Schizosaccharomyces pombe: one gene and its partners. Changing the gene in region 2 together with the main gene of any one other region gives a genetic interaction. Each region holds a gene or a part of one and is shown on either strand. Other genes may lie near its edges. The genes, in order: wis1, win1, cdc25 and mkh1.

The links.
Region 1: of win1 (region 2) and wis1, a mutation in one rescues a mutant of the other (synthetic rescue), as found in Schizosaccharomyces pombe (4 studies listed by BioGRID, with this or other methods).
Region 3: of win1 (region 2) and cdc25, changing one enhances a phenotype caused by changing the other (phenotypic enhancement), as found in Schizosaccharomyces pombe (one study listed by BioGRID).
Region 4: of win1 (region 2) and mkh1, changing one enhances a phenotype caused by changing the other (phenotypic enhancement), as found in Schizosaccharomyces pombe (one study listed by BioGRID).

Annotation. Positions count from the first base shown.
Region 1 is NC_003423.3:1,143,231-1,148,366, forward strand, and holds wis1 (MAP kinase kinase Wis1), read right to left. Parts: upstream 3,374-5,136; 5' UTR 2,555-3,373; coding exon 737-2,554; 3' UTR 501-736; downstream 1-500. Other genes in the region: ubiquitin hydrolase Uch2, read left to right, coding at 1-43. UniProt on the Schizosaccharomyces pombe protein: Dosage-dependent regulator of mitosis with serine/ threonine protein kinase activity. May play a role in the integration of nutritional sensing with the control over entry into mitosis. It may interact with cdc25, wee1 and win1. May activate sty1.
Region 2 is NC_003424.3:5,087,111-5,096,538, forward strand, and holds win1 (MAP kinase kinase kinase Win1), read left to right. Parts: upstream 1-2,705; 5' UTR 2,706-3,330; coding exon 3,331-7,641; 3' UTR 7,642-7,738; downstream 7,739-9,428. Other genes in the region: Spg1-binding protein Etd1, read left to right, coding at 979-1,888, 1,951-2,216; rpl3002 (60S ribosomal protein eL30), read right to left, coding at 8,101-8,191, 8,438-8,700. UniProt on the Schizosaccharomyces pombe protein: Involved in a signal transduction pathway that is activated by changes in the osmolarity of the extracellular environment. Activates the wis1 MAP kinase kinase by phosphorylation.
Region 3 is NC_003424.3:476,768-483,886, reverse strand, and holds cdc25 (protein tyrosine phosphatase (M phase inducer) Cdc25), read left to right. Parts: upstream 1-1,513; 5' UTR 1,514-1,601; exon of another isoform or gene 1,602-1,701; 5' UTR 1,702-2,346; coding exon 2,347-4,137; 3' UTR 4,138-4,659; downstream 4,660-7,119. Other genes in the region: hxk1 (hexokinase 1), read left to right, coding at 1-440; DNA replication pre-initiation complex subunit Sld3, read left to right, coding at 5,191-5,232, 5,281-7,119.
Region 4 is NC_003424.3:611,870-620,041, forward strand, and holds mkh1 (MEK kinase (MEKK) Mkh1), read right to left. Parts: upstream 5,407-8,172; 5' UTR 4,980-5,406; coding exon 1,629-4,979; 3' UTR 1,500-1,628; downstream 1-1,499. Other genes in the region: exosome 3'-5' exoribonuclease subunit Rrp6, read left to right, coding at 1-1,408; sro7 (Lgl family protein), read left to right, coding at 5,975-6,076, 6,124-6,553, 6,602-8,172. UniProt on the Schizosaccharomyces pombe protein: May regulate cell morphology, cell wall integrity, salt resistance, cell cycle reentry from stationary-phase arrest, and filamentous growth in response to stress. Activates the MAP kinase kinase skh1/pek1 by phosphorylation.

The DNA of each region.
Region 1 (5,136 bases), on a different chromosome or scaffold from region 2:
TGAAACTGCAAAAGCGAAATACGCATCTCAAAAGCGACCGTAATATATTACGGCGTTCTTTCTCAAAAAATATTCCACTATGAAGGAATTTTCATTTCCAGGATAAAAATCTGTTATGACTCTAGATTACCTTGTTGGACTTATGTTGGGAGAATTTGTTTCTTTGATATATAAAAGTCTCGTACTTTTTAAATAAATGAATACCTCAAATCTCTTTGAGTAATATATTAATAGTTTAAGTAATTATTATTAGGTCGATATAATATCTATTAACACTTGCATTTACGATGGATTCAATCTCTCTAAGTAATCACCATTGTAGGAAACAGGAGATCATAGTAGCTAAAACGACGGAGCCAGTCAACGAAGTTTTAAAAGAAATAAATTAATACAGTACAAGTAACTTTTACAATTGCAAACTTTCGTTTGCACTTCTAAAGCCCCTTAGTTAAATAAAAAAAAAGTTTTTTATGGTGGACGTAAATGCCTTAAACAAATGTAATAACACATTAAATACCCGTTTTAATTTAAAGCAAAAATGCAAACATCAACTACCGTTATACGGAATCATACCCAAATTATTAAATTTATGAAAAAGCACAAATGCAAAATAGCGTCGGTTCTGCTGAAACATAATTATGGATCACGTAATAGTCATGCATTCGAAATTAAAGACAAACACCAATGCGCATGGGTACTTTAAAACAGAGCAGGCAATTAGAAAGCAGGCGAACCTTTAGCTTCTTTTTTCACCTTTCTCTTTAAGAGCGCCTTTTGCCCATGAAGCCATGTCCACATCTGCATTTTGATATTTTAACAACCATGGATGGTTAGCCAACTCATGATAATCGGGACGCAAAGACGGGTTTTTATTCAAACACTTGTTTACAAAATCACGAGCTTCGGGAGAAAATGAATCGGGGAGAGAAGGTGGATCGCCATCGCAAATCGCCGATAGTTGTGCAAATATTGAAGTATATGATTCAGGTGGATACGGATAAGCTCCTAAAGCCATTTCTAAAATGGTAAGGCCTAGAGACCACACATCAGCCTGTACGGTGTAAGTCAAGACGCCATTGGTAGGTCCACCAACACGAATTCTTTCAGGAGCCATGTAAGATTGACATCCAATGTTCGTTTTGGATATAGAAGCCACAAGATTCCCACTCACGCCAAAGTCACATAACTTAACCTGGCCATTAGAATTTACCAAAACATTAGTAGGTTTAACGTCACGATGAATGATATTATGCTCCTCTTTCAAAGTTTTGAGGCCTTGCACTACAGCATAAGCAGTTCTAGCTAAAACTCCTTCGTCTTTGATACCACCAGCATACAGTTTGTCCATGCTACCAGCATCCATATATTCCATACAAATAAAAACAGAACCTTCCACAAAAAAGGCACCATAAAAGTCAACGATATAAGGACTAACTGCTTTATGTAAAATATCCAATTCCATTATAATTTGATTAAATGTTGCTTCTTCTAAGGACAACCTAATTTCCTTCAAGGCCATAGTGACACCAGTCGGTTGATGCAATGCTTTATACACAACACCATAGTTACCTTTTCCAAGTTCTTCAAGCTTAATAATCTCTGACATATTAATACGAAACGAAGAGCCAGATGAAAAGTTAACACCTTCTGAATTTAACACGGCTTTGTTTTTAAAATTTAAGGTGCCTGATTTTGCATCCAAAATATCCGAAAATGTGGAAAAAGGGGTTTCCGAAACAGCCTGTTTAAGGGTGGGAGGAATGTTTAGGCCACGGCGAGAAGCCATGCTAGACGGACTGACAGGGCTGGTGGGATTGGAATTGGATAAATCGAGTTTTCCAGGTGGTGCACGACGGATTCTCGTTTGTCGATTGAAGGACGTTGGACGGTTGAGTAAAGGATTCCTAGCAGCAGCAAGTGATTTTGCAAGCCCGGACTCTGGCATATTCGGAGACTTTACGGGCGAATTACTTAATCGACCAGCAAGTTGAGAGTTAGGCAAAGGATAACTTCCTCGTTGACCCATACCGACAATAGGGGTAGTTGGACTACTGATCTTGTTGACTACTTCCGGCATTGATTTTGATCTAGATGCATGGAAGGCCTTCAATTTCTCCTGTATATCAGTTGAAAGTCCTCCAGGAAATGGGCCCGGTGGAGTAGGAGGAGATCCAATATTGTTCTGACCAGCTGCTGTAGGAAGTGAACGTCTAGGTTTTTCCGAAGGATCCTTCATGTCAAGGTTAAGAGAGTTACGACTCCGACTGGACGTAGATCTGCCAAGTCTGACCGTAGGCACGGCACGGGGAAGAGGGGGATCGGAAGGTATTTCACGACTAGGAGAAGAAACCTTTGAGTCATTGTCACTGCCACTACTGTTAGAATTTAAAGACAAGGAACCCAAGGAAGAACCAGAAGAATCGGTGTTTGAAGAACTTGAAGACGAAAGAGAAAGGAGCGAGCCGGGAGTACCAACATCACCGGGAGGTGCGGTAGGAGAAATAGACAGCTGTCTCAATGAGCAAGACAAGGGTTGATTATTTGGAGAAGACATATAAAATAAATGTGCTTCACAAACTTAAAAAAAAAGAAAAAAAAATTAGGTAAACTAAATTCCGGTAATATAAATGAAGCAAAAGTGAAGATGAACGAAAGTGAGATGGCAATACAAAAAAGGTATCTTGGGTGAAAAGAACAATTAAAATTAGACAATCAATTACGAGTCGTCTCCGACGAAGAAGGAAAAAAAAAGCGGTGGTCTAAAAAGTCCGCAGGAAGGATATTCCAAGAAAAAAAAAGGAAGTTTAAAGGCAATCACCTACGAGTAGCTTTGTGTAGGTAAATGCCACGGAAAAAAAGGAGGTTTGGAAGGGTTTAAATTTAACAGCAAAAGCCAGAAACTGGAAGAAACAGGGGCTTAGATAATAAATTTCCCAAGGAGAACTAAAGAAAAAAAAGTAAAAAGGTGTGGGTTAATCTTAGTCCGAGAAGTCAATACTTTAAAACCGAGTTATGACCGACGAGTAAGGAGGCAAAGGTAAGGAGAAAAAGTAATAATTCACAAACACGAAATAAAAAGGAAAGAAATTTGAAATTATCTTTCTAAAAGATAACACGTAAGGGTGTGGAAGGAAGAGAAAAAATTCAGAAACGCTTTTCTCTTACAGTAAAGAGCAAAAAAAATTCTGCTCTTTAAAGGAAATGGGAAAATTTAGGGAGGGTGATAAAATAGGAAGTGTAGTCGGTACGATGTAAATAAGATATACACGTCGAAAGGGAATGCTTGAGAGATTAGGAATCCCAGCTATCGCCAGCCGGCTGGGGTATGTTTGGGTATACAAGAAGGTGGAATGGGATGGAGTTGGTGAAGGATAAAAGGATAACGAAAGTCAGACAACACGTTGCTTAATCTTAAGGAGAAACTTTTGCACGTTAGCTTACGTATCAGTATATAAGGATAACGTGGATAAAAAAATGTTTCATCAAAACAAGGGATGGTTAAGGGATACAATCAAATTTGTAAAATCAAAATAACGTGAAGCCAAATAATATGCTGCAGATCTCCGTATAAGCGTAACGACCTGTATGAATCATTCGACAAGATTTCTAACAAGGTATCCTGAGATTTATATGCAAATGGAAAGAATGTACGGCAGAAATAGCTGGTAAGAAATACCTCGATGGATTAATGGGAAAGCACAGGATGATTGGGTAAAATGCTCAACGTATAGAGAATAATACATAGAAGTAAAGAAAAACAGAAAAAAAAAGGGCCGAAAAATATTTTAATGGAAGATAAACACAACGATTTATCGGTCTTGACAGAAGGAATTGAATTGTCCGATAGATATGGTAGTGTTTGATTAGAAAAGAATAAAGAATAAATAAATAAAAACAAAAATAATTAATGATTAGGTGCATAGGGCTTTAAGTTTCAAAGCTGGTATTCGAATGTCAATGTATACTAAGAAAAATCATGATCCAAGGTAAAATGTATAACCAAATAAATAAGAGAAATATAACTAACCTAGTAGCTTCCGTCCTTGAGAGCGATAAAAAAAAGCGAGTTAACGCACAAGTGTTTCGAAAAGGTGTAGTAATGTATAATAAAACATTTTTTAATAATCGTTAAAAGGTTCAGCAAGTGGAATGAAGAGAGTGTGTTATTTGTGCTCTAGAAGCAGCGTAAAAAAAAATTTATTTATTTTTAAATTTTTTTTTTTTTTCTAATTTTTTTAAATTTCTTTTGTTTAAGGAAACACACAAAAATAATGTAAGAGTAGCAGCAAAACTGCTAGGAACATTTTGTTCTATGGAAAAAGACACTGAAGTGAAAAGTGCAACGAAGGGGTAGAACTTTCGTAGGAAGGAAAAACAAGCAAAGAGAAAAAAATTTACAAAAGTTCCTAGATCACTCCATCTATATGCAAATGCATAATGTACGGTGTATGCTCGAACAAAGTAGAAAGGGGGCTATAAAAACGATTTGAGGATAATCCTTTATTAATGAGAAAAAATTTGGAACGTCTAGTTTTGCGCCAACATCAAGGGAAGACAAAAAAAATTTTCATTAAAACAGACTCAATAATGTTCAATTGAGATAGAAGAATACAGAAAGAGTCGAATGATTGAACATGTGGTGAAAAAGGCTGAAGATGAAACTAGATAGAAAGAGGCTGTATTCCCAACATCCAAAAATGAGGAAAAACTAAAGAAGAGAAGGAAAGTGGAATAAAATGAAGAAATTAAAAGAGAAAATCATACGATGAAACTGAGAAGAAGAAGAAGGCATTTTATTTTAATTTTATTAATTTTATTAGATTTCATTTCGTTTGACGCTTTACGGTTTCATGAAATGCCAAATTGCTAATTCTTTATTAGATTTTGGAGTATTTTCATTGTTAGTCTGCGAGTATTTTCATTATTAGTTTGTATTTAAAAAGTTTCATCGTATGTTTCTATAGATGCGTTTTTTTTTACATTATTTGAATTGAATGAAGAATTGATTTGCTATAAGAGAAATTTTTGACTTGGTATGGTTGCTGGCTGGCACCCACGGCTGCGTATGCCACATACCATACAATAGTAGACTAAGACGACTGTACATACGAATGGTAGTTGTTTTTTGGGGAAAGG
Region 2 (9,428 bases):
TGGTAAAACTAAATGAGTGAATAGAGGATGTCAATCTGTATTTTGGATTGAACTTTTATTTACTGCGTATACCTTTGTGGAATTAATTTTTTTGCTCAGAGCTAACGTATTTGTGTTAACCGTAACTGTCCAGTCGTACTTTTGTAAGGAATTAGGAAGTTCCTTTTGCTAAAAGTTAAATGGTCTGTAGTAATAAACAATTCTGCTAGGTAAAAGTTATTATTAATCATTGATCCATTAACCTATTATATTCGCTATGTTTATATTAACTGTGAGATTAAAGGTTGCATCACTTTACGCTCTCAAAAACGTAGCTTTAAACTGCAAACATTATTTGACTAGTTTTAAAGAGTTTGACTTTTAAGTCAATGTAATGAAAGAAAAGAAGAAAACAATGTTTTCCCTGCATCAACAGAGTTAGTTGAAGAGTTTATCGTAAGCAAGTAAAGAAAGTTGAAAGGCGTATAGCAACTTTTGATGCTAACATTGTGCTCATGAACGAGCAGTGGCTTTGAATCTTTGTAGAGTCATTCATCTTTTCAGTTTTTGGCTAACTTATTTATTTTAAGTTGAACATTTTTAATGAATAAAACTTGTAATAGACAGTCTTTTCCATTTCCTAGTCTATCTCTGCTAGCATTCCATCTTTACAAAGCCCTATTTAACGTAACCACGATTAACGCGTTATAAAGTATTTATCAGAATTATATAGCGCTTAAACAACATAACGAATTGCGTTCTTTGATGTTATAGAACTTTGTATTTCCTTATAAATCATTTACAGATTCATGTTCAAAATTCGTTATGTCGTTCTCATGACGACCGTTTGTTTACTAACAAAAGCGTGGTCTTGACGAAAGTGCCTTCTACCATTATTTACACACTTGAATGGGTTGACGCGTACAGTCTTTTCTCTACGGCAATAATTCTTTCTTTAATTTAGCTTAAGAGAAATATAGATTTACGAGTATTTCGTCAATGGGAGTTGTATACGGCAGTCAACAAAATTTAAGTGAATATTTCTATTCTTCTGTCAATATGGCAGAGGTTCCAGATACTTTCGAAGAGAATAGGGGTCATTCTTTTGAAGGTGTGACTCTACAACGAAGGCATGTGAAAGGCATGAAAAGTTATGGTTCAGATATTACACCGAGGCGCCCTAAACAGCTTGGATTACCGAAAGAAGTTAACACCTCCGAATGCATAGATCAAGGCTCATGGAGGAAACCCTCAGCATTTGAAAGCTTAAGAAGTTACTCCCGAAAATTTTCTAAACGAATTTTTTCATTCATAGGAGTTGAGTCAAAAAGTACTGTACAACGCAACGCTTCAGGTGCAGACAGTACGTCGTTGTCTCACTTTACGGCGAATGAGATAAACAAAGGCAACTGTAAAAAAACTGCGTTAAGTAATGAATTTAATTCGGCCAATAAAGGGAGCAAGGCTAGTGGTGTAGGTGCTGAACTACCTTCAGTTAATGGATTTATTGAAGGTGAGCTTCATGATGATAATGAGACAGATTCCTTTCGGATAAATGAATTAGCTAAGCAAATCCAAGAAACTTCTTTGGGTGCGACTACGCAAGAAGATGAGAGTTCGGATGGTATTTGCTGGGACGAGTTATCGACTACTTCGCCAGAGTCGTCGAAAGTGTCGGAACCTATCATTCAAGACAATACGCAAACGACTCATATAAATAACGATTCATCGGATATTCGATTTTCATCTCGTTGCGATTTATTTGCGGACGATGCGGATTCAGATTGGGAGCAGGACTTTAATGTGAAATTCGATAGTCCATTGATAATTCCCGAAACGGTAAACAGTGCAGGACACACCGTTCGAGAACAGCTTTTTGAGGTGAAGGAATTTACGAGATCCATCAAAGGTAAGACATTCATGTGTTGTAATGCTTTAGTTTTAACCGCTGCTAACTAAAAACACAAATAGACTTAAAAGATCTTTACGAAAAGGCAAATTCCAAAGATATTTACGACAAGGACTCAGAGATTTTAGGAGAGGCTAAGGCTATTCTACGGTTAGCGGATCCTGCAAATTATTCTGATTTAAAGGATGAGGACGCGCAAAACATTTTATCAAAATATAAAGTTAAGTTGGAAGGGGATTCTTCATTAGATTTCGATGCGTCCATGCTACCAGGGCTAAACGATCATGTGCATTATTTAATGTCCCAACTCCAACTATTATTACACTGAGTTTCTCTTTTTGGCTATTTAATCCATTAATGGAATGGGAAGTATCTATTTTGTTATCCAAAGTGTCAAAATTTCGCTTAGGATAATTTCAATAATTGTGAGAACAGTTTCGCATTGGTGGATAGCAAGTAAAGGTGAAACTGGCCATTACAACCTTTTTATACTTCTGCATCTTAAGAAGCTTTTGGTTTTATTGTAAATTTCTTTCGTTTTCTCTTTTTAATAAATCTATTTTGCAATAATATTTCGGAAAAAGTACTAGACAGATGTTTTGTCTTTTGTGAATATTAGTCCAACCTTTATTCTGTGATAAAAAGATTTTATTAAATTAAAGTAAAAGAATGTAAATCAAAAATACCTGAAAACCCATATCTATGATTTTGCTATTTAGTGAGAAATTCCTCATTGCACTGAAAATCCTTAAAACTAGTACCCCACTTCATACTATACTACGGGGTTAGACCACAATTAGTTGTTTATCCTTTGCACACCGCAAACCTATAAATTTTCTTTTTGTCAATTCCACATATTCTACAAGGAGGATTGACTTTTTAGTTCACTGATTATTGCTCTTTCAACAATTTATACGCGGTAGTTTTACTGCTCTTCGGCTCGTATAATTTTTTTACACAACACTTTTATCGATTTTTTAAGCCGAATTTCTACATTTAATATTTTATCATTTTTTTCTGCTCATTAATATTTACCGTATCTTTTCGAAAACCCATTGCTTTGGATGTGTGTGTGTGTCTCTCTCTCTACGTTCCTCAATTTGACTGCATTACTTTAATATACTTACAACCTGAATTCTGTTCGGTTGGTAATTCCTGCAATCGTTATTTGTCTTTGTCAACTTCGGATTTTTTATTTTTACATATAACAGTAGTTGCATTGACTTCGCTGCACAATTCCTTACACTGAGTTGGCATTCCTTGCATCTGTAAACCACTTTTTCATTACCCACTCCCATTTTTGACTTCAGTAAACAATTATTCTACTACTACTTGCCACTATTCCAAACTTATCTGTTTCCCGTTTTGGGTTTAAATTTGGGTATAACGGTCTTTTTTATACATAACTTCTGAAGCAATTCGAAATTTGTTCCTCAACAAACATGGAAAATATTTTGGATCCTTCTGTGGTCAATTCACATATACTAGAAAATGGCTCAAGGCGATCTTCTATCAATCCAATTCTTGATAGTGAATTGCGTGATAAAACATTTGAAAAGGCTCATCGTCGCTCTTTGACTTTACTTTCAAGTTTTACCTCGTCTATGCTTGAACTTCCTAACAACGGAAAAGAAGAAAATCACAGAAGGCCATCTGTTGCGCGTAGCTCAAGTGATAGATCCAAGGCGAGCGCCAAAGAGGACTTATTTTCAGAAGCTTTCAGAATGGCTGAACAGCCTCCAGCCGAGGCCCTTACTATTTCTACCCCTGTTGACCCAATCAATATTGATGAATTAGATCGTGCTTATGCCGTAAGTCCAAGCGATACTAGTAATCTACTACATCCTCCTACTTCTTCCTCTTCCATTCCTATACCAATTAAGAATGCTGGTCATTCAAACCTCGATCATCCTATCCGACCTAGTCTGCAAAGTAGTATTAGCTCAAATAGGATAATAAAGTCTCCCGGTATTAAGGAAGACGATTATATGCACAGAGGACGTTCTATTTCGTCGCCAATGATTGATGTTGAACACATAAATTCAACAGCAGTTCCAAGCAAAACTAAAAATTTGCCAGAAAAGCCCAAGCGTTCTCACAAACTAAGAAATTCTATAACATTTGCTAAAATTGAAGATCATCCTGAGAGGAAATCTCAATTAAGACGACTGAGTAGTTCGTTAAAGTGTTTTGACCCAGAATATGATTATAACGATCCTTCTCTAAGCATTCGTCGTGATAGTTCAACTTATTACTTTTCTAATGTTAATGAAACTTATGATGAGGAGGACTCGGATTTAGATTCTGAGACTTCAACTGTAAATTGGGTACAATCTGTTCTGAATCTCCCATCCTTACTTTCTGATGATTTAATGGCTAACCCAAAAAACAAAGAACGTTTTGAATGGCAATATATGTTGACTTCAGTTCTGACTGGTGATATAGTCCGATCTGAAAAATTACGGCTAAGAAAGATTGCTTCTTCTCGAGAAGGGCGAAATAGTGATTATTCTGATAATTTGTGGATGGAAATATGGTGTTGGCTTACTCATCGTTCCGTTGATTCTTATAGAGAAAATTTAAAACATCTTCGTACGGGTATGGTTGATGTGCTACTGGCCATTATGAATTTTCATTGGGATGAGAGCAACGAATTAACCCCTATTGTTGCTGTCGATAACATGCTGCAAAAACTTGATAAATATGAACGTTTATATCCTTCACGTCGTTCTATCCTTCAGGAACATTCATTATATGCTTCAGAATCTTTTCAGCACAAGTTGGATGTCTTGACGGCTTATTCTAATGTCACTCATGCGCTAGAAATTCAAGTTAACATTATTCGCTCGTGGGTTGGTAATGAGGAAATGGACATTACCAAAAATACTACAAATTCTATTAATAACGTTTCTCAAATTTCAAACGGACCATTTGTGGAGCGCTTTTATAGAGAAACCGGTTTGATTCGAGCTTTTGAGCAAAGAATCATGACTAATATGAATAGCGTATTAAGCAAAGTTTGTAATACGATTGTTACATATGCGGATGATTTAAAAAGTTATGGCTTGCCGCTTATTGCTGATGATTACATGCGTCTTCTTTCTTTTCCGTTTAGGTTAATCAAAGAGTTCCTAAATCTTCGCTTATCATGTGCAGAAAATATTACCTCAATTTCTTTATTTACGATTGACTCTTTACTAGATGACCTTCGGAACACTATGAAAGTTGCCGTCCATATCATTCAACAACACACTGTTCTAATCAAACCTTTTCGTGATGATAGCAAATTTGTTGATGAAAACCAGTCCTTAAACAATATTTTAGTTGCCTCATTGAAATTTTACTTCAATTTATTACATCGTAAGGTTCGCAATGGCTGTGCCTTGCTGCATTTCAAAGAAACCGAAATTTTAGAAGGAGAATGGGATTTTCTGCTCGCTGTTTGTCCCCACATCGAACACGGATTCCAAATTATGTCTAAAAGTCTTTCTTCGCTGGTTGGTGAAATATTGACCAATATCAATAGGTATCTAAAAGATCAGCTGCAGGGGCCCGATACCGATGACTCTGCATTGATCACCTCATTTTATATCAAGGTGCTTGACTGTGTTAGAATTCGCTTCCGAAAATTGATGAGTTTTACTCGTATACTAAAAGCGCATTTGGAAAATTCTTGCGAGTACGTTATTAAAGAGAATTCATTATCCCTTTTAATACAACGCCTTGAAGAATCAAATCACGTTTTGACATATACGGCGAGTATCGAACATGAAGGAGCATACGTAATTGTTCCAGGACACCTAGTTGATTCCCCTAATATACTTCGTGAGGTACTTTCAATGACTTTTAATAAAGGAGATAATAATTTTGAAAGTGTACCTCCATATGCGGTTGTATTGGCTCCAGACAGCTCAATATGTTGGAACGGCCATGTTACAGATCTTGATATTCCGGAAGTGTCAATTTCCATTGCTCCTAACTGTGTCCGTTTAGTAACGTTAGCGACAGCTAATCAACTCTCTGTTATCGAAGATTATTTTATTAGTATAGTTGGTGACACAGTCTCACTTGTTGATTCTGCGAAAGCAAATTCATCCAAAATCAACAAACAAATGACCAAAATTAAACGAAATTCTTTGAAGTTGGCTTTGTCATTGCTTGATGTGATACAAACAATTCGTACAAGGTACCATGGCATGAATTGCCAAAATCTAATTCATTATTCTTTTTCTTACGCCATTGAATTTGCACAACGATTAATGAGGCTTTCGATCCTAGACGCATCTAGCATTGGGCTGATTCGTCGCAAAATGATACAGCTGGCGATCAGTTGGGTTGGATTCATCTATGAGGATTGTTCTCCTACCGATAGAAATACGTTTCGTTGGACTGTTACGGCTTTAGAATTCGCAATGATTATGACATACGGTTCGAACATTTTAATGATTGATAAAAAATCATTTGAAGAACTCAAAGAAAAGGTTGGAAAATGTGTGGCATTATTACTTTTGCACTTTGATGTTATGGGTACTAAACATGCTGGTCGTAGTATGGACCAACAAGCTGGAGATATACCAGCTCGCCTTGTTCGAAATAATTCCGACCGAAGTCGTTTATCGGATAATGAGTTGGCTTCCTTTGTCAAGGAGGAGGTTATGCATCGGATAATTGAACTAGAAAGTAATAGAAGGGACCGACTTTATAAGTCCCAGCTCATTGGACGTGTTTTGGATGATACGACAAAGGAGAACAGGCTATTGAAAGAGCTAGCCTCTTCGAAATCTAATATCACGATTCGATGGCAACAGGGTGGACTTATAGGTAGCGGTTCTTTCGGTACGGTTTATCGTGCTGTTAACTTGGATACAGGAGATTTAATGGCTGTTAAAGAAGTGGCATTGCATAAACCTCGTATATCTAGACCGATGATCAAGAGGATTAAAGGTGAAATGTTAGTACTTGAACTCTTTGATCATCCTAATGTCGTATCGTATTATGGTATCGAAGTGCATCGTGAAAAAGTTAATATATTTATGGAACTTTGTCAAGGCTCTTCGCTTTTCGAATTTCTACGTTACGGTAGAATTGAGGACGAATTGGTAATTCAAGTTTATGTCCTACAATTATTAGAAGGATTGGCTTACATACACTCCTGTGGTGTTTCACATCAAGATGTAAAGCCTGAGAATATCCTTTTTGATCACAACGGGATCATGAAATTTACAGATTTTGGTTCTGCCAAGATGTCGGGTTCTGCTTCAACTAAAATTTTTGAACAGTTAACACAACAAGAAGAGGAAGAGTTTGAAAAAGACTCGGAATTTTTGCAGCATCTAGACCAAAATCGCGGTTACTCCTTGACAGGAACACCTACGTATATGGCGCCAGAATTAATTCTTGGTAATCCGTCCGAAAGGGTTGGTGCTATGGATATTTGGTCACTTGGATGTGTTATTGTTGAAATGGCTACGGGTTCCCCACCTTGGCCTAGATTAGATAATCATTTTTCTTTGATGTATCACATTGCTGCACATAATCCTCCTATTATTCCTGCAGATGATCAGCTTTCGCCTTTGGGTCAAAATTTCCTCAAACGTTGTTTTGTTTCTGATCCCAATCAGCGCGCTACAGCTGCCGAATTATTAATGGATCCATGGGTGTATCCCTTACGGGCTGGTACGGAATTCGATCTTATGAACTCATCCGTAGTCGAATCAGCGCCTTCTACCAATGGTGCTCCGTTGGAACTTTAGATGTTTGCTATGTTTTACACCTTATGACTATTTTTTGGATACGGTTTTAATTTAATACTTAATTAATAGAGACGAGAAATATTATAAAGTCCTAAACACTTTGTAAGTTTTGTATTCGTAGCAATCTATGCGGTATTCATTAAATGAATCGTTATTGAATTAGTTGAGTGTAAAAGTGACTTTATCATAGAATCATTTTTACTACGGCGCTAGGAAGAGACGTTAATTAAATTACCTTGCTACAACAATCAAACGTAAATACAATGCATATATTGATGAGTTTCATTGTTACGCTAATATACAAGATAGATCAGCCTAATGCTGAATTTTTTACATTTGTTTAGATATGTCAAGCTAAAGAGTTCCTGGATTCTACCAGAAACTTGGAAATCCAATAAAAATAATCCGATTTATTTTATCTGCCATAACATTGATTTTAAAAATTTTAATAAGTTTTACCTAAGCAGCAAGAATGTCGGAATCGCCAGCATCAATAACTGCTAATACACCGACGCGAAATAATTTACCACATGCAGTTCCTAAATCAATACTTGAAAACAGTTAGTAAAACAAAATTCGACTCCCAATTAAGATCTCTGTCGAAATCAAAAAGGCTTCAAAAAGCTAGCCATTAAACAGTGTTTCTCAACATCAATTGCTATATTTTTCTTTCAAAGAAATGATGGTCATAAAATTAGCATAGTTTAAATGTAATGGTTTAAAAGTAAAAATAATTTCAAAACGCTTCTAAGTCAAAGTCGATGTTGAGGAAAACCCTTACAAGCTAGTTACTTACTTGTTTCCACTGTAGTGGTGTACAGAGCAGCGAGAAAGCATCGCATAGTATTCCAACTCGGATTTACGTAGAGGAGGGGCATTTGCGGCAATGAGGATCAATTTAGCTTTACCAGAACGAAGGGTTTTTAAAGTCGATTTGTATCCCAAAACGTATTTCCCACTTTTCATAGTCAACGCCAACTTGGAATTAATAGTATCTCCCGACTTCTTTCCCTTTTTGGAAACAGCGGCAACGGGTGCAGTGGTAGGTGCAGCAGACATTTTAAAAAAAAAACAAGGAAATAAAGAGATAAAAGGCTTAGGGTTTTCTGCCGAAAGATAGAAGTTTGTAAAGTTGTTAACTAAATGAAATTCAAAGTAATGTTTTCCAAGAAAAACAGTCACATAAATCCAAACAACAAAACTTTTAGTTTCTGTGCATTGGTGCGTAGTTCGTTAGTGTGTGGTACAATTTGCTATAATAAAATGTAAACAAAAAATGTCAAGTAATAAAAAGCAAATTTCTCAAGGTAAAGAAATCATCACTTTTCATTTTTTGTTTTATTTTAATTATTTCCTCAATAGTAAAAGATTTGTATTTTACGATATCTCGCGGATCCAATGGCTCAATAAACTATAATGCAGTTATTTCTAGCCTTTGTCCCTCTAACGATAAATTGTTCTTTGCAGTCGATGCGCTTATCCTTCAATTCATTTAGAAGTATTTATTGAAGCTAAATTGTAGTCTTGAAAATGCCTAAACTGTACGTTAAATTATTGATGGTGCAGTACGAATTGAGAGCAGCAAATAAATGGTTTTGAGTTCTTTTTTTTTTATGTAAATATGTGCCATTTGACAAAATCGTTAAGCGTTTTTTTCGGTCTTCCTAGGTCTACGGGTTCTTTGTATTAAGTTTTTTTTTTTTTTTTTTTTTTTTTTTGTTTTCCCCTACTATAAAGAATCTTGTCATACATATTTGAACAAATAATACGCGATAAGAAGGAAATAA
Region 3 (7,119 bases), 4.6 Mb from region 2:
CCTTGGCCATGGATACCTCTGTGCTCAGCGCTATTGAAGTTGACCCCTTTGAGAACCTTGATGAAACTCAAACCCTATTTGAGGAAACCTATGGTCTCAAGACCACCGAAGAAGAGCGTCAATTCATTCGTCGTGCATGCGAATTGATTGGAACTCGTTCTGCCCGTCTTTCTGCGTGTGGTGTATGCGCCCTTGTTCGTAAAATGAATAAGCCATCTATGATTGTAGGTACTGATGGTAGTGTCTACAACTTATACCCTCGTTTTAAGGATCGTCTTGCTCAAGCATTTAAGGATATCCTTGGTGAGGAAATTGGCAGCAAAGTTGTTACCATCCCCGCCGAAGACGGTAGTGGCGTAGGTGCTGCATTGGTCAGTGCTCTTGAAGCCAAAGGCAAGGCCCTCACTTCTGATATTCTTGCCGAGCATCTTAAGAATTAAGTCCACTCATTGTTTTTAGGTTTTACGGATACTCATTTGATTTTGTGTCACTGAACTCCACGAAGTGTTCGACAAACTGTTTTATACTGCACTTTTTATTTGTTTCATACTCCATCTTTTTGCGTACAATTTGTTCCAGCAATTTTTATGGTTACACTTTTCTTTGTCTACTAATCACGTATCAGGGCGTTTTTACAAAAAGGTGCTCCACCTGATAAAATATTTTCTTTTTTGCTCTAGTGTTTCTGTGGATACGATATCTGCCTCTGATTGCTAGAATACTTTAAATAAAGGTTAGAGTTTTGTTATATTTTGTATGTTGAAGTGTAATAATAGCGGTATCTTTGTTGAAGATATCCGAGTTTAACAAGACAACTGGCTATACTATCTTGCGAAATATGCCTACTACGACAATAATGGTATCAACCCATAGCTACATAACATCGGGAGACTTTCAATGAGTTACACCCTCGTTTTCCAATTCGGAATGACAGTCCGAGTCCCGAAGTAGAGAGATTCATCGTGTTACGATTATTCGCTAACACCTGATAACATATTTTATCTCGCTGCTCGTGTTACATATCAGGAGTGCGGGTATGAGATTATGGGGATTTAATGGCTGTCAAGCAGGTTACCTGACGTTTGTTCTTATGTATTTGTTTACACATACACAACATTTGGCGTTGCTAGGGCAACAAATCAGACAAACTGCGGTGGATCGAATAGCTGAGATGTATGGACATGTAAACAAACATACAAGATGCAAAAATTTATGTGTTTTCATCTAGTTCAATGTTGTTAATGAAATGATTATTTGCTTTTATATAATTAATAGATTAAGAGGTGACATATTGTAGCTTGAAACGGCATTATCTACGCAACTAAACTATACAACAATAGTTGTCATGGCTGAGGTGTTGGCTAAGTATTACAGCTTACAGTTTAACTTTGCTTTAATCATGTATTTGTTTTTATTATTGTTTTCTGTTACTCGAATTTGTTGGTTGGTGTTTTATTGTTGTTGTTACCTTTGCTTTTTTTTCCTCTCGGAGGCAGAGCTGAGATTTCTCTCTACCCTCAACTATCTACAGCGCTTCAAGCTCTTCTCCTTTAGATCAAGTGTATTACATTGAAAATATTATTCTTAAGAATACCAAAGTTGTAAGTTTAAAAAGAACTTGATGCCTGTTAGTTTCGGGCATCCTTCTCTCCTCAAGTTGGATTCCTGTTGATGCTTCTCAAGTACTAACTGCTGGTTCAGTGATTTTTTGAAACGTCTATAATACAATTGCTTACGCTTTTTAAGGCAATTAATAGGATTCTTGAAGTTATTTGTTCAAGAAGCCTTTATATGGTAAAGTGGGGGGTTTATTACTTGTAACGAACTTTGAGTCTGAACTTTTGGGTATTCTGTTGTTTTCATATTAATCAACTGCTTTCTTTTAACTTTCTTTTTTCTTTCATTTTTTCTTTCAACGACAGTATCTTTTATATTCTATATTATAGTCGTGACCGTTGGTGCTCATCTATTTTTGTCTCATTAATCTCTTTTTTTTTATATACTTTTATTCGGTCTTCCCGTCGTGTGGAGTCTAAACTTACTTAAACTTCTTTCCGGTTTCTTTTGTAAAGGTTGGTTTTGTTTAATATTTGGCTATATTGCTTTCATCCTGTCTTTCTTTTAGTTTTCTTTTTGTCTCACTTTGGCATTAATATCTTAAACCGGTCTTTTGACTCTTCCCTAGGATTTTCCTTTATAATTTATCTTACTTGCTCTATTGATTTCTCATTCTGAAACTCAATCTTTTGCAGTCGTGTCGTCCCATTAGTTCTTTTTGCAGTGTACTTGGTTTAAATTAAATTTACCATTTTGTCTGCTTTTAATAATAGTTAAACCTCAACTAAAATGGATTCTCCGCTTTCTTCACTTTCCTTTACCAACACTCTATCTGGCAAACGGAATGTATTGCGTCCTGCTGCCCGTGAATTAAAGTTGATGTCGGATCGCAATGCAAATCAAGAGCTGGATTTTTTCTTCCCGAAATCCAAACACATTGCCTCAACATTAGTGGATCCTTTTGGAAAAACTTGTTCGACAGCTTCACCTGCATCTTCCTTAGCTGCTGATATGTCAATGAACATGCATATCGATGAAAGCCCTGCCTTACCGACTCCTCGTCGTACGCTCTTTCGATCTCTTTCTTGTACTGTAGAAACCCCTCTCGCTAACAAGACTATTGTTTCACCTCTCCCGGAGTCACCCTCGAATGACGCTTTAACCGAGTCCTACTTCTTCCGGCAACCTGCATCGAAGTATTCCATTACCCAAGATTCCCCACGTGTTTCCAGCACTATTGCTTACAGCTTTAAGCCTAAAGCATCAATCGCATTAAACACCACCAAAAGCGAAGCTACTCGTTCGTCATTATCGAGTTCTTCTTTTGATTCCTACCTTCGTCCTAACGTCTCACGTTCTCGATCATCAGGCAACGCACCCCCATTTTTGCGATCCAGATCGAGTTCCTCATATTCCATTAACAAAAAGAAGGGAACTTCTGGTGGACAAGCTACCCGCCATTTGACTTATGCCTTATCCCGTACCTGTAGTCAGTCGAGCAACACGACCAGCTTACTTGAAAGTTGTCTTACTGATGATACGGATGATTTCGAATTAATGTCTGATCATGAGGATACATTTACGATGGGCAAGGTTGCTGATTTACCAGAAAGCTCTGTTGAACTTGTTGAAGACGCTGCCTCTATTCAACGTCCCAACAGTGATTTTGGTGCTTGCAATGATAATTCTTTAGATGATCTTTTTCAAGCTTCACCCATTAAACCTATTGATATGTTACCCAAGATAAATAAAGATATTGCCTTTCCTAGCTTGAAAGTTAGGTCCCCTTCTCCGATGGCATTCGCTATGCAAGAAGATGCGGAATATGATGAGCAAGATACACCAGTGCTTCGTCGTACCCAAAGCATGTTTCTCAATTCCACAAGACTAGGGCTTTTCAAAAGCCAAGATCTTGTGTGCGTTACGCCAAAACAATCGACCAAAGAAAGTGAGCGCTTCATCTCTTCTCATGTCGAGGATTTATCTCTTCCTTGCTTCGCCGTGAAGGAGGACTCATTGAAACGAATTACCCAAGAAACATTGCTCGGTCTATTAGATGGTAAATTTAAGGATATTTTTGACAAATGCATCATTATTGATTGCCGTTTTGAATATGAATACCTTGGGGGCCATATTAGCACTGCTGTGAATTTAAATACGAAACAAGCTATTGTGGATGCCTTTTTAAGTAAACCTCTTACTCATCGGGTTGCACTTGTTTTTCATTGTGAACATAGTGCGCACAGAGCACCTCATTTGGCATTGCACTTTCGAAATACCGACAGACGAATGAATAGTCATCGTTATCCTTTCCTTTACTATCCCGAGGTTTATATACTTCATGGTGGTTACAAGTCGTTTTACGAAAACCACAAAAACCGTTGTGACCCAATTAACTACGTTCCGATGAACGATGCTTCGCATGTTATGACCTGCACCAAGGCTATGAATAATTTCAAACGAAACGCTACTTTTATGCGTACTAAAAGTTATACTTTTGGCCAAAGTGTGTTAGCTTCCCCAGACGTTAATGATTCTCCTACTGCCATGCATTCCCTCTCTACACTTAGAAGATTTTAATGATTTTAGGCTGACTCAATACTTTACCTAGCCTGAAGTATACTCTTATATATTCAACTTTCTAAACCTAAGTTTTTTCTATAAACTTTGAATCATGAAACCTTTTATTTCTATTTTTTATTATTATTATTGAAAGAAAGCAATATACCTTTTAAAAGGTCTCGACAACAAAAAATTTAAACTGGCTAAACTTTTCGAAGTACATCACTTTTACGACTAAATATCTAGAACGACTAGTTTGGTTATTATTATTACGCATGGATTTTGGTTTAATAATTGATTATTTTATAATCAATTGAGCTTAATAATTTCTAAGCAATCACGGGTAAACATACGTACCGAAGTCCATTCTAATTGCTCTTCTCGCAATTGCTGTTGATAGGAATGCTAAGAATTTAGCATTCTTTGATTGAAGCAGTAATGCGATAGGAACTGAGTTGCTTACGTTTTTGTAACTCTACCTAACCATCTCTGATGGAAATATTTAAGTAGAAAACGAATAAAACTTTTATTTTTAAATCACTTCCTTTTATGCATGTTCTGTAAGCGGTAGTATTGTAGCTTACCCTTTCCAATGGAAGGTTAAGTTCACCAGAGAGTTACGAAGTTTTATGTGATATAAAATAGTTACAATGCGGAAGTTGGACATTCACACTTAAGTACCTTCCCAAAAAAAAAATTACGAAAATTTTTAATCAATACTACTTTTTTGGTAAAAATTTAAACATGTTCCGTTGAGAAAGTGAATCATATGTGTGCTTTTTTAAAATTTGAAGATATTTGTAGATTTTGTTTTGTTTACTTTTTATTTGCAACAATCAGAATGTCGTCATCTAAGTCAACCTTAAATTCGCTTATATGAATTTTATTGATTATGACATCAACGCCCTATGAAGTGCAGCTTTGAACGCCAACGATTGTATTTAATACATTGTAGGATAAACCTCGTAATCATAAATAACGAATTGTTTAAGTATGAAAGTTTGCAGAGCACTTAATGTTCAAACAAACAAATCTTTTTAGGTACACTAATTTAAAGATTTTGGTATCTTTATGAATAACGACCATGCTTCCAAGAAATCATTTTGTATAAAGGTACTTACATTTTAAAAATAGTAAAGATTAGTTGTTGACATCTTTTAGGCTCCTTCAAATTGGGAAAAATCATATCTTGAAGTCTGGCCCTTAGTTACTGTACCAAGGCAGTGTATTTGCCTGCGATGGTGCATTTCAAAGGAATATCACGAGTTTACTTGCTCATCACTACAATTCATAGTTATAAGGCCAGCTGGCACTAGTGTTTTACTCGGACGTGTAAAAAGTTCGAAAGCTAATCAACTTGTTGGAATTGAACATGTGGAAGGGAGCCGTTATGCCTTGATTTTTCTTTCAGAAAAATTGGATTTTAAGTCTTTGAAGGTGATAGCAAATCATCAATTAACGAAATCCTCTAAAAGCTTGTCCAACGTCTCAAACAAACCTTTAGGAGATCAATTGTTCCGTTCGAACTCTTTAATGTCACCTAGTTTGTTAAAAAAGGAACTTCACAGAATTCAATCAGATGCTTCTCAAGCAAACGAACGCGAAAGCCAAGCTCCGCATTCATTCGTTACGCATGATCTTATTTCGTCTTCAAAAGATGGCAATTCCCTTACGCATGAATTTGCAAATGATTCCGTTACTGAAATGGTTCAAGATTATACTCCTAGCTGTTCACGTGACGTTAAATCTTTGTTGGACCATCTTTACAATTCCTACTTTTATCAACTATTGATGACCAAAACACCTGTTGTTTTTTATGTAAAGCAAATGGTTGGAAAAACTCGACAACTAGCAGTTGAAGTACACAATCATGTAGAAGAAAAAGCTCTAGTTGATGAACTGTTAAAATTTTTAGATAATCTTAAATCTGTCGATGACCGTAAATCCCGATTACTTCAATGTTTTGAATCACATTTAAACTATAAGGCTTGGCATTTGGAATTCGAAAATGAAGCCCATCAGTATGAGATTAAAGGCTATCGCCTCTGGCTTCAAAACATATTAAATCGAGAAAATTGTCAAATTACAAAACTTGACTTTGAGAGGGAGTTTTCCCAACTGAAATTGAAGGAGTATGAAATTCGTGTACTTTTATACTTTGAGATTCTATACCTTTTTTTAAAATGGGATCCTGAGTACGCAAGGCGTCGGGCTAATGATAACAGTTTGTTGGATTCTCGCGATAGTGGTAAACGAAAATCTCGGAAAAAAAACGCAAAAACGCTTAATCCTTTTGAAACTGCTCAATTAAAATTGGAATTTACATTTGATGGGCTTTGCATACGAAGGACTATAGAACAAAATGCTACCGAACGATCTGAGGATCTCTTATTGAAGTTTTGTAAGGAGACAATAGTCCCATATTACTCCTCTAAATTCCCTCGAATTACGCGCAACCTTTTAGAGAAATGTAACGGTTTAGATTTATTACCAGAACGCTCTCATAAGCATAGACATAGCGCTCCTCCTCGTTCAAAATTGATTAGTAGCAAATCAGAAGCCGGTCGCGCTTTACCTGGAAATACTTCTGGTGCCAGTATATCCAATACTTCTAGTCCTCATTCGGAGGCCTCTATCTCTAAGGATTATGAAATTCTTAAACGTCGAAGAAGCAATTCTGGGGTTCATTCTTTGACTCGGTCAGATTCTTCATTCAATGGTTTTGAGAGGGACACTAGAAGAAGGTCTTCCGATATAGCTCGCATCAAGAACCGTGAAATAAACCTTCCTTCTTCGTCTTTGTCAAAACAAAGAAACTCAATGCATGATATTTCTACAAATTTTCCACGAAGAAACTTATCGTTTACTGAGAAACTTACCATGGCAAGCTTACAAGGACAAAGTGAGGAAAGTGTACAGCCGAAAACAACTTCTTCTCTTTCTCGGTCAAAAACACTTAGCATTCTCGAGGGATCTGTATCTAAGCGCTCAGAACCTTCG
Region 4 (8,172 bases), 4.5 Mb from region 2:
CGGGCTTTACGTTGTAAACTTATTTGATACATACTATGCTACTAAAGTTTTAGGATTTGAGGGTCATGGTCTGGCTTTTCTGTTACAAAAGTATTGTGATTATGATGCAGATAAAAGATACCAAATGGCTGATTGGAGAATCCGTCCTTTGCCTCGGGAAATGTTAAAATATGCTCAATCTGATACGCATTATTTGTTATATATTTGGGATCATTTACGAAATGAACTCATATCAAAATCAGCTGAAAGAAAAGAAAATCTTATGCAATCAGTGTTCAATTCCAGTAAACAAATATCTCTTAGAAAGTATGAACTTGAGCCTTATGATCCTATTTATGGACTTGGTACTGATGGCTGGAGAAATGTACTTACTAAGTTTGGCTCTTCTAAAATAATTGGACGGGAAGCTTTGATGATTTATCGAGCACTGCACGATTGGAGAGATTCCGTAGCCCGAAAAGAAGATGAAAGTGTTCGCTATGTGTTGCCAAATCGTTTACTTATTGCGATTGCCGCCAGTAAACCGGTTGAAGCGGCTGATGTGTTTTCAATTTCTAAGCAATTGACACCAATTGCTCGCATGTATGTTGAAGATATCGTTAAAGTCGTTCAAGAAGCCGAAAAGTTGTATAATGAGCAAGTAGATCGTGAGAAATCCCAATTTAAAGAAGTTGAGAAGCAAAATCAACCGCTAGCAGTTTTTTCCGAATCGAATACTTTGGGTGATTACAAAGTTGACTCCAGTGTTTTCGAGATTTCTAAACAAAATAGAAGTAAACTAAAGACTTTGCTGGCAAATGGATCTGCGTTTTGGATTGAGGGACAGTCGCAAGATGATTTACGGAAAGCTCGTAAAGAGAGACTCTTTATAGTGAACCAGAATATTCCTTTTTCATTAACTCTTCCTTGTACTCAAGGGCATGTTGAATCCGAATTGAATGTAAAGCAGTCCACTGTAACTGAAGCTGCAAACCCGAGTCTGAATGGAGAGAAGAAACAAGAGCCTATAGTCATTAGGGATTTAGGGCTGAACAAGCAAAAAAGGGATTCTTCTAAGCTTAATCATAAAGAACCCTCAAACCCCATAGAGGAGCGAAATGAAGATATTGAACCTTCGGAAGCTTCAACTTCAGTGTCAAAAAAACGGAAGCAAAAGAAGAAAAAGAAGAACAGCGGAAAACTTACTATTGAAGCCGAACATGTTTCTAATGACAGTCCAATTATCAATGAAGCACCTTTTGATTATAAAAATCAAAAGAATTTTATTGCTGACTTAGACTCTGATGTAGGAAAAAATAAATTTGGGAAACGGGGTTTTAATCCTCTTAACAAGGTAAGTTTACCAAAGCGAAATACTAGGGAACTCAAAAAAAGGAAGGTTTCAGACGGGAAGAGTACATCTTATTAATATCAGTTTTAATTTTAAATAAACGAAACAATTTTGACAAAATGAAAATTTACTTTTAAATACATTGTAGAAATTGAAAATGATCATGTATGTTTGTTTGTATAATAATGTAATAATTTTCAAAATTAATTTCAATATTAAATAAATAGCTATAAGAAGAAATTGAGAATGCATGCCCCTGCGAGGAAACGCTAAGTAATAAATAATAATTGCGACCAATTTAGCTCTTTCTTTTACAAAGCATGTCGTAAAGATTCGTGTCCTTAAAGTTGAATTCTTCGTCACATTTCATAAACGGGTGATTTAATAATTCCTCTGCGGTTGGCCTTACATCAGCATTCACAGTAAAGCATGCATTCAAAAATTGAATCGCTTCGGGTGATACCTGAGACACCAATTCACTAGGAATAGGAGGCGCCTTTTTCTCGGTACCTAACTTGAACATAGCTTGGATAGCCTCATCTGTAGACCACGGTCTACGACCAGCTAACATTTCCAACACTACACATCCCAAGGACCAGACGTCGACCTTAGCACTATATCCTTGATGATCATTATGAATTACTTCAGGTGCCATCCAAAAGATGGATCCTTGCATGGACAGGTTTGCGTCATTGTCATACACATTATCACTATGCTTAGATATTCCAAAGTCTGAAATTTTGCAAACTCCATCAAAATCAATGAGCAAATTGTCAGCCTTTAAATCTCGATGTATAATACCTTTAGAATGTAAGTAAGACAACCCGTAGAGCACCTGGCGTGATACAAAACGGACCAGTTGCTCTTCGAAAGGACCATAATTCCGCAAACATCGACCAATTGAACCACCTGAAACATATTCCAGGAATATACTTATATCCGTTTCCGTCTTTTCGAAACCCAGATATTGCACTATATTTAAGTGATCCAAATCGGCAATCATAGAAATTTCTGCATTAATGGAATCCACGATATCTTTGCGTAATTGGTCATGACGGCCATTAATAGTTTGTGGTATTTCAACTTGCTTTACTGCAATCAATTCACCCGTATTAATGTTCATAGCCAAAAATACCTTACCATAAGTACCATTTCCAATCAATTCTCCTTTCATCCATTTGAACGTGGCATTTTGTGAAACAACTGATCCAGAAGTTATAGTAGTATCTGGTTTTAGTTCTACAATCCTAGAGCCCCAAAGTTTCGTACTTGATCGACGTAGAAGATTTCCAGATTTATTGCGTCTCGCGTTATGTCGTATTTCTTTCCGAGCTTCAGATGCTTCGCGGGCTAATAATCGTACAGACTTCATTTTCGGACGTATCGATACCTTTGAAGGGGAAGAAACCATGCGGCTTTGGTCCACTACAAGTACTTTATCCAAATCATAACGGGGAAAAAATCGATCAACATCCTCATAAAGATCATCAGCAGATGGACGAACTTCCCAGTTACCAGAATTGATAACCTTTGAAGACGGTGGGGATTCACGAATATGTTTGGACTTTCTTAAACGATAAGATAACGGTGATAAACTAATGGATCTGTCATCACCTCTACAGTATTCAGGAGTTTTAGGCGAAGATAGTTCATTTGCTTTCAAATCCGTAGCAGCCTCTGTGTTAATGGAAAGTTTGGATTGAATGTTGTGATGATTTTCTTTAGGTACTTGGGAGGAAGATTGTTTGGGCTGTATAGCCCAAAAGGGATCCCCAGAAAGATCCGATTCGTCTAGTGCAGGCGCATCTTCAAAAGGTATTTCTGATAAAGCTTCCACACTTTCCTTTAATGAATTAGAAGATTTACTAGATGCTTTGGGGTCAAAAGACGTATGTGAAAATTTGCTAGCTTCGTTATGTCCGGTATCAATGTAAGGAGAGGACCGAGCGTGACGAATACTTGGTCTACGAGTCAATGTATTTTTTCGACGTAAACTAGATGTCTCTGTGGGTGGGGGTGGAGGATCTCTATGTGCCACAAAATTTCTAGTTAAAACAGAAGCAGAAGTATTAGATGAAGGACTTTGGGGAGCGGAAGAGCCGGAATTAAGTGGCATTTTCAATGTGACCTTCTTGTGAGGTCTACAAACGGTAAATTTGTTTTTTTCACTTTGGGCTTCAGTGGCATCCAAAATTTTTGTAGCCATTTCTCCTTTAGCACCACGGATTTTTTCAAACCCTCGAAAACGTCGAGATGGTAATTCTGGAACAACTGCCAAATTCGGTGCCGAACTAAAACCTTTGTAGTATTTATTATCAGGTTGATGCCCTGATAATGATAAATTAGGTCCTGCATCAGTAATTTCAAAATCCGAAGTAAGCACAGGGTAACTTGGTTGCTTTTTAAAATCTTCCTTGCGATGATATATTGAGTCATCATCAGCTTTATAAGTTGAACTTGATTTTGTGCCAAAAGATAAATAAGTATCACTATCCATACCCGATTCTTCATTTTGTGATGGCTTTACGAAAAATTTAATAGTTCCAAATTCATCAGAATAAAGCCTTGCAATATCAAGCTTTCTATCATCTAATATTTCTATGTATTGAGCCCCGCCGACTTCCGTGAGAAACAAATCAAACTGGTCAATTGAAATGTCTAAATACATACTCTTAGCTATTAGCTTACGTAGCTGAGTAGCATTTTGGACGTTGGTAATATCCACTACTGTGAATTTCATATCATCCATAGTAGCAAGAACAAATGACTTCTTTTTGGATATTAAACCAATTTGACTTTCTAAACGATGAATACGAGGTACCCACTCACCTTGATCCAAAGACGCGTCTAATGTTTTCACATTTGAAGAAGCTAAATGGAATGGGTTCGAATTTGAAGAAGGGCAATCTTTAGTTTTATCCTTGTCACGAGAAAACCCAGGTACCCGGAAACGACGGAGAAAGCTAGTTTGTTTTTCTTTATGTTCGGATACAGGTTGTTTCGACAATGTTTTTTTATTAATGTTTCTGCTGTCATCGTTAATTATTGAAGTGACAGTTCCTTTGTAAGCGTGTAAGTTTATAGGAGAGCCTTCCAAATTTAAAGAGGTTGTTTGATGGGAGTTTTTTCCTGTGCTCAATAGCTCATTGTTGTCGACTACTGATCCACCGAAGCCACCAAACACGTTCACATTGCTATCAGGAACACTCTGAAAGCTTTTGAGGGACGAATTTTGATTTGAAGAGCGGAAACCAGAGTTAGTTTCTGTAAAAACGTCATCCGAACTATCTTTGGCGCTGTAAGTTAATGTTTCGTAAGACGAGTTTTTGCTAGGTACGCGAGTCGAAGAAGGTGCTAAAAGTGTTTTGCGAATACAGCTACTCAATTGGATGGCAGACTCCTTGCTCAATTTATTTTTAAAGGCGAATTCCTCGGCTTTTGATTGATCGGCCAAATTGATAAATAAATCCATTTCGATTCGACTTTTAATAAAAACGTCTTCCCATTCTTTGTTAAATTTGTATAGTTTTAAAAACTGAAGTACACTGTTAAGTGACCAATCTTGCTTATCGACATTCTGAAGATGAAGAGACTGTTCAAACCGTTCTTCCAAAGAGCCTGATGACTGCGATCCGATATCGGCAGCCATATACCCAGAACAGTATTAGTTACTTTGAAAAGAATTCAAGATAAAAAACCTTTTTTTTGTCAAACGAATTGGAGATTGCTGCTTAAGTAGTTTATGATTAAAAAAATTAAGATTCGGCTGAAACGAGTGAACTAATTTGCAAAAGACAGACTTGGGATGTTAGTAATAGCCCAATTTCTTGCAGGTAAATAAAATATTAAGAAAGGAGAGAAATGTTGAATCACTAGTACTCAGGGTTTAAAGATATTGCAAAAAGACTTCCCATGTGTTTTGACATGCAGCCCGTATGATACCGCCAATTCCACAGAAGCCTGTTAGAAAATAATAGAGAATTAAAAATAGATACTTTATCAATGTAAAACTGATATTTCGATTCTATAAACCTTCACGGGTAAACCAAGCAATCTCCAGCTTGGTGTCTGGCTTTAGGCCCGCTCAAAATCGCTTGCGGTTTGACTAGTGAATGATGCAAAGTCGAATTCAGTGCTATAAGGATAAAATTAGAAGTCTCATTATTTGTCAGCAATACTACATTACGCTATGATACACTACGTTGTGTATCACTATATGTCATATGTTGGAATACTAGCTAAGATCCGTTTATTGATAATCACGGGTAACTATCCATCTATATACTAGTTACCAGTTGATAACAACTATTTAGAAATATTATAAATAGCGTTACAACTGAACCTCGTTCCTCAGTTCAGTTATGAGCTATATTAGTGATAGGTAACATTATAACACAGTTAATACAATACTCAGTTGCTACTCATACAACCTGTTTATTGTAATATAATAGGTTACAAGGAAAACTCACCGCAGTTTACGTATCCTTAAATCAGATACCAAACTGCGTAGCTTACATTATTATTGGTTTAACGGCACAAGACGTTATCCAAAAATAGCGTTCTCTAACACGAGTTGAGCGTGAGTTTGTATATGCTACGAGGGTATAACATGATTAGTATATTTATACCAAGAATTGGGAAAATATGAGCTTTTTTAAAAAAAAGCTAAGTAAGGGAAAAGAAATTTTATCCAAATCCAATTTGAAGACCCATACGTCTTCAAATGCTTCACTATCGATAGACGACGTAAGTAGGGAAGCAATGCTTGTTGAATGTTTAATAACAAAGATTAGTTGAATCGATTTGGGTTTTCCTTAAATCCAGTATTATGGTGTTTAGACCATCAACAAGGCTTACTAGCTATTGTATCTAGTACTAATCGGATATACATTTACGGTAAACAGCATGTCCAGAGTGTGATAGTTCCAGACTGTTCAACCATTGTCCATATAGCCCTTTGTGCGGCGTATTTGATTGTAATTGACTCTCGAAATACGGTCTTAAGCTATCCCTTGATGAAACATCGTGACCTTTCAAAACCAGCTGCCACTTACTTTCTCAAGCAAAAAGTTACATGTACCGTAACGGATCCTACTATTGATTGGGTTTTTTTTGGAATGAGTGATGGCTCCGTTGTGCCATGGGATGTTACTAGACATTGCCTTGGAAAATTCAAAGTTCCAAATTTGTATGTCCCAAGACACGAGGAATGGCGAATGATGGGTACGTTGAGGTCATTGTTGTTTATTTGAATTTATTACTAATTTTCAGGCTACTCTTATGCACCAGTTCCTGGAAAGCTATCCCCAGTTGTAAGCGTTCAGATTCACCCGAAGGATCTCGGTGTGATTTTGATTGCATATCCGGATGGCGTTGTTTTGTACTCAATAAGGACTGACGAAGTTATACGCTTTTATGAATTGGAGTATGCACCAGGTAGTACAGCTGCAGTTTTATCACCCCATAATTATCGAAGACCTATAGTCAAAGGGATAGAGTGGAGTCCTTGGGGTGATCACTTTGTTAGTTACTATACTGATTCGACTTTTGCATTCTGGGATGTGGATCAAGAATATCCTGTACAAGTCCGAAATTTTGTCGATTCAAACATACACACGTATACCCCCATGCAGAGAAATCCTCCTAAGACGGAGCTTGAGCCCATTAGGTCTATGAGGTGGTGTTGTTGTGAAGACCCAACAGTTTCATTTATTTTGATGTTAGGTGGTTTGCCGAAAGAAGCACCGGTAAAGGGAATTTCATTGTTCAGTTATCGAAATCTCCCTGCCAAAAAGGATGTTGAAACATTTGCGGAATTTTTCGCAAATCCAAACTCACAACGCTTTTTTCCTTTTATTGACATCCCCCCTGTACGTGATATGCTGGTGATTCCTTCTAGCTCACCACATTACAATGGATCTCATAATCCCAAGAATCTTCTCCTTCTTTCGGAAGACAACTCGTTATCGCTGCTCGACATTTCTACTGGAAATATTTCAAACATGAGCCTTTCTATTCCCCCCTCTTTATGCTTCCTTGCTTCAGATTTTCGAGTTATAGCATTTCAAACTGTAACAAAAAAAGTTTGGAATCAAATTGAAGATACTATTTCCGTTAATTCACATTACTCCTGTCTTTTTGGCGGATCTCCTAGTCCCGGCTATCTTAAGAAATTAGATGAGCGTAATCTACTTATAACATCGACTGGTCTTAGTTTATCGATTTGGGATATATCTCAGGGTTTTATGAATCCATCTCTCTGCGTAAATTTGGATTTCTCTTCTGTAATGCGAAAGCATCTCACGCCTTCAGCTTTTATAACTACTGCCTCTTTTTCCACTTATAATCCAGAATTCAGTTGTGCTGATAGTTTTGGGCGTGTCATTGTTTGCAAAAGGAAAAATCATAAAGAAAATTTACCAGCTCAGCTCGCTAACGGAATATATCGTTTGGACGATACCTTAGTTCTAGAGGGAACATTACATGCTCAATATTATATTGATCTTAAACGAGGAAGAGTAACATTGAACCAAATGAGCAATATTGGTTTTGTTTGTATAGGATATCAGGATGGTGGAATTACAATCATCGACATGCGTGGCCCCCATATACTGTGTAACACCAGCATCTCGGAGCTTGGATTAGAGAGAAGAGGAAAACCTGATCCCGATTTTCTTACGAGTGCCGAGTTTGTCGTTATGAACCCTAAAGGAAGCCCTTCCTCAATCTACGTAGTCACAGGAACATATAGAGGGATGACACTTTTATTCCGTATAGACCCTTCCTCTTCAGGGCGCTTTTCTGCTTATTTTGAATCATCTCGACAATTAGATATTAAGAAC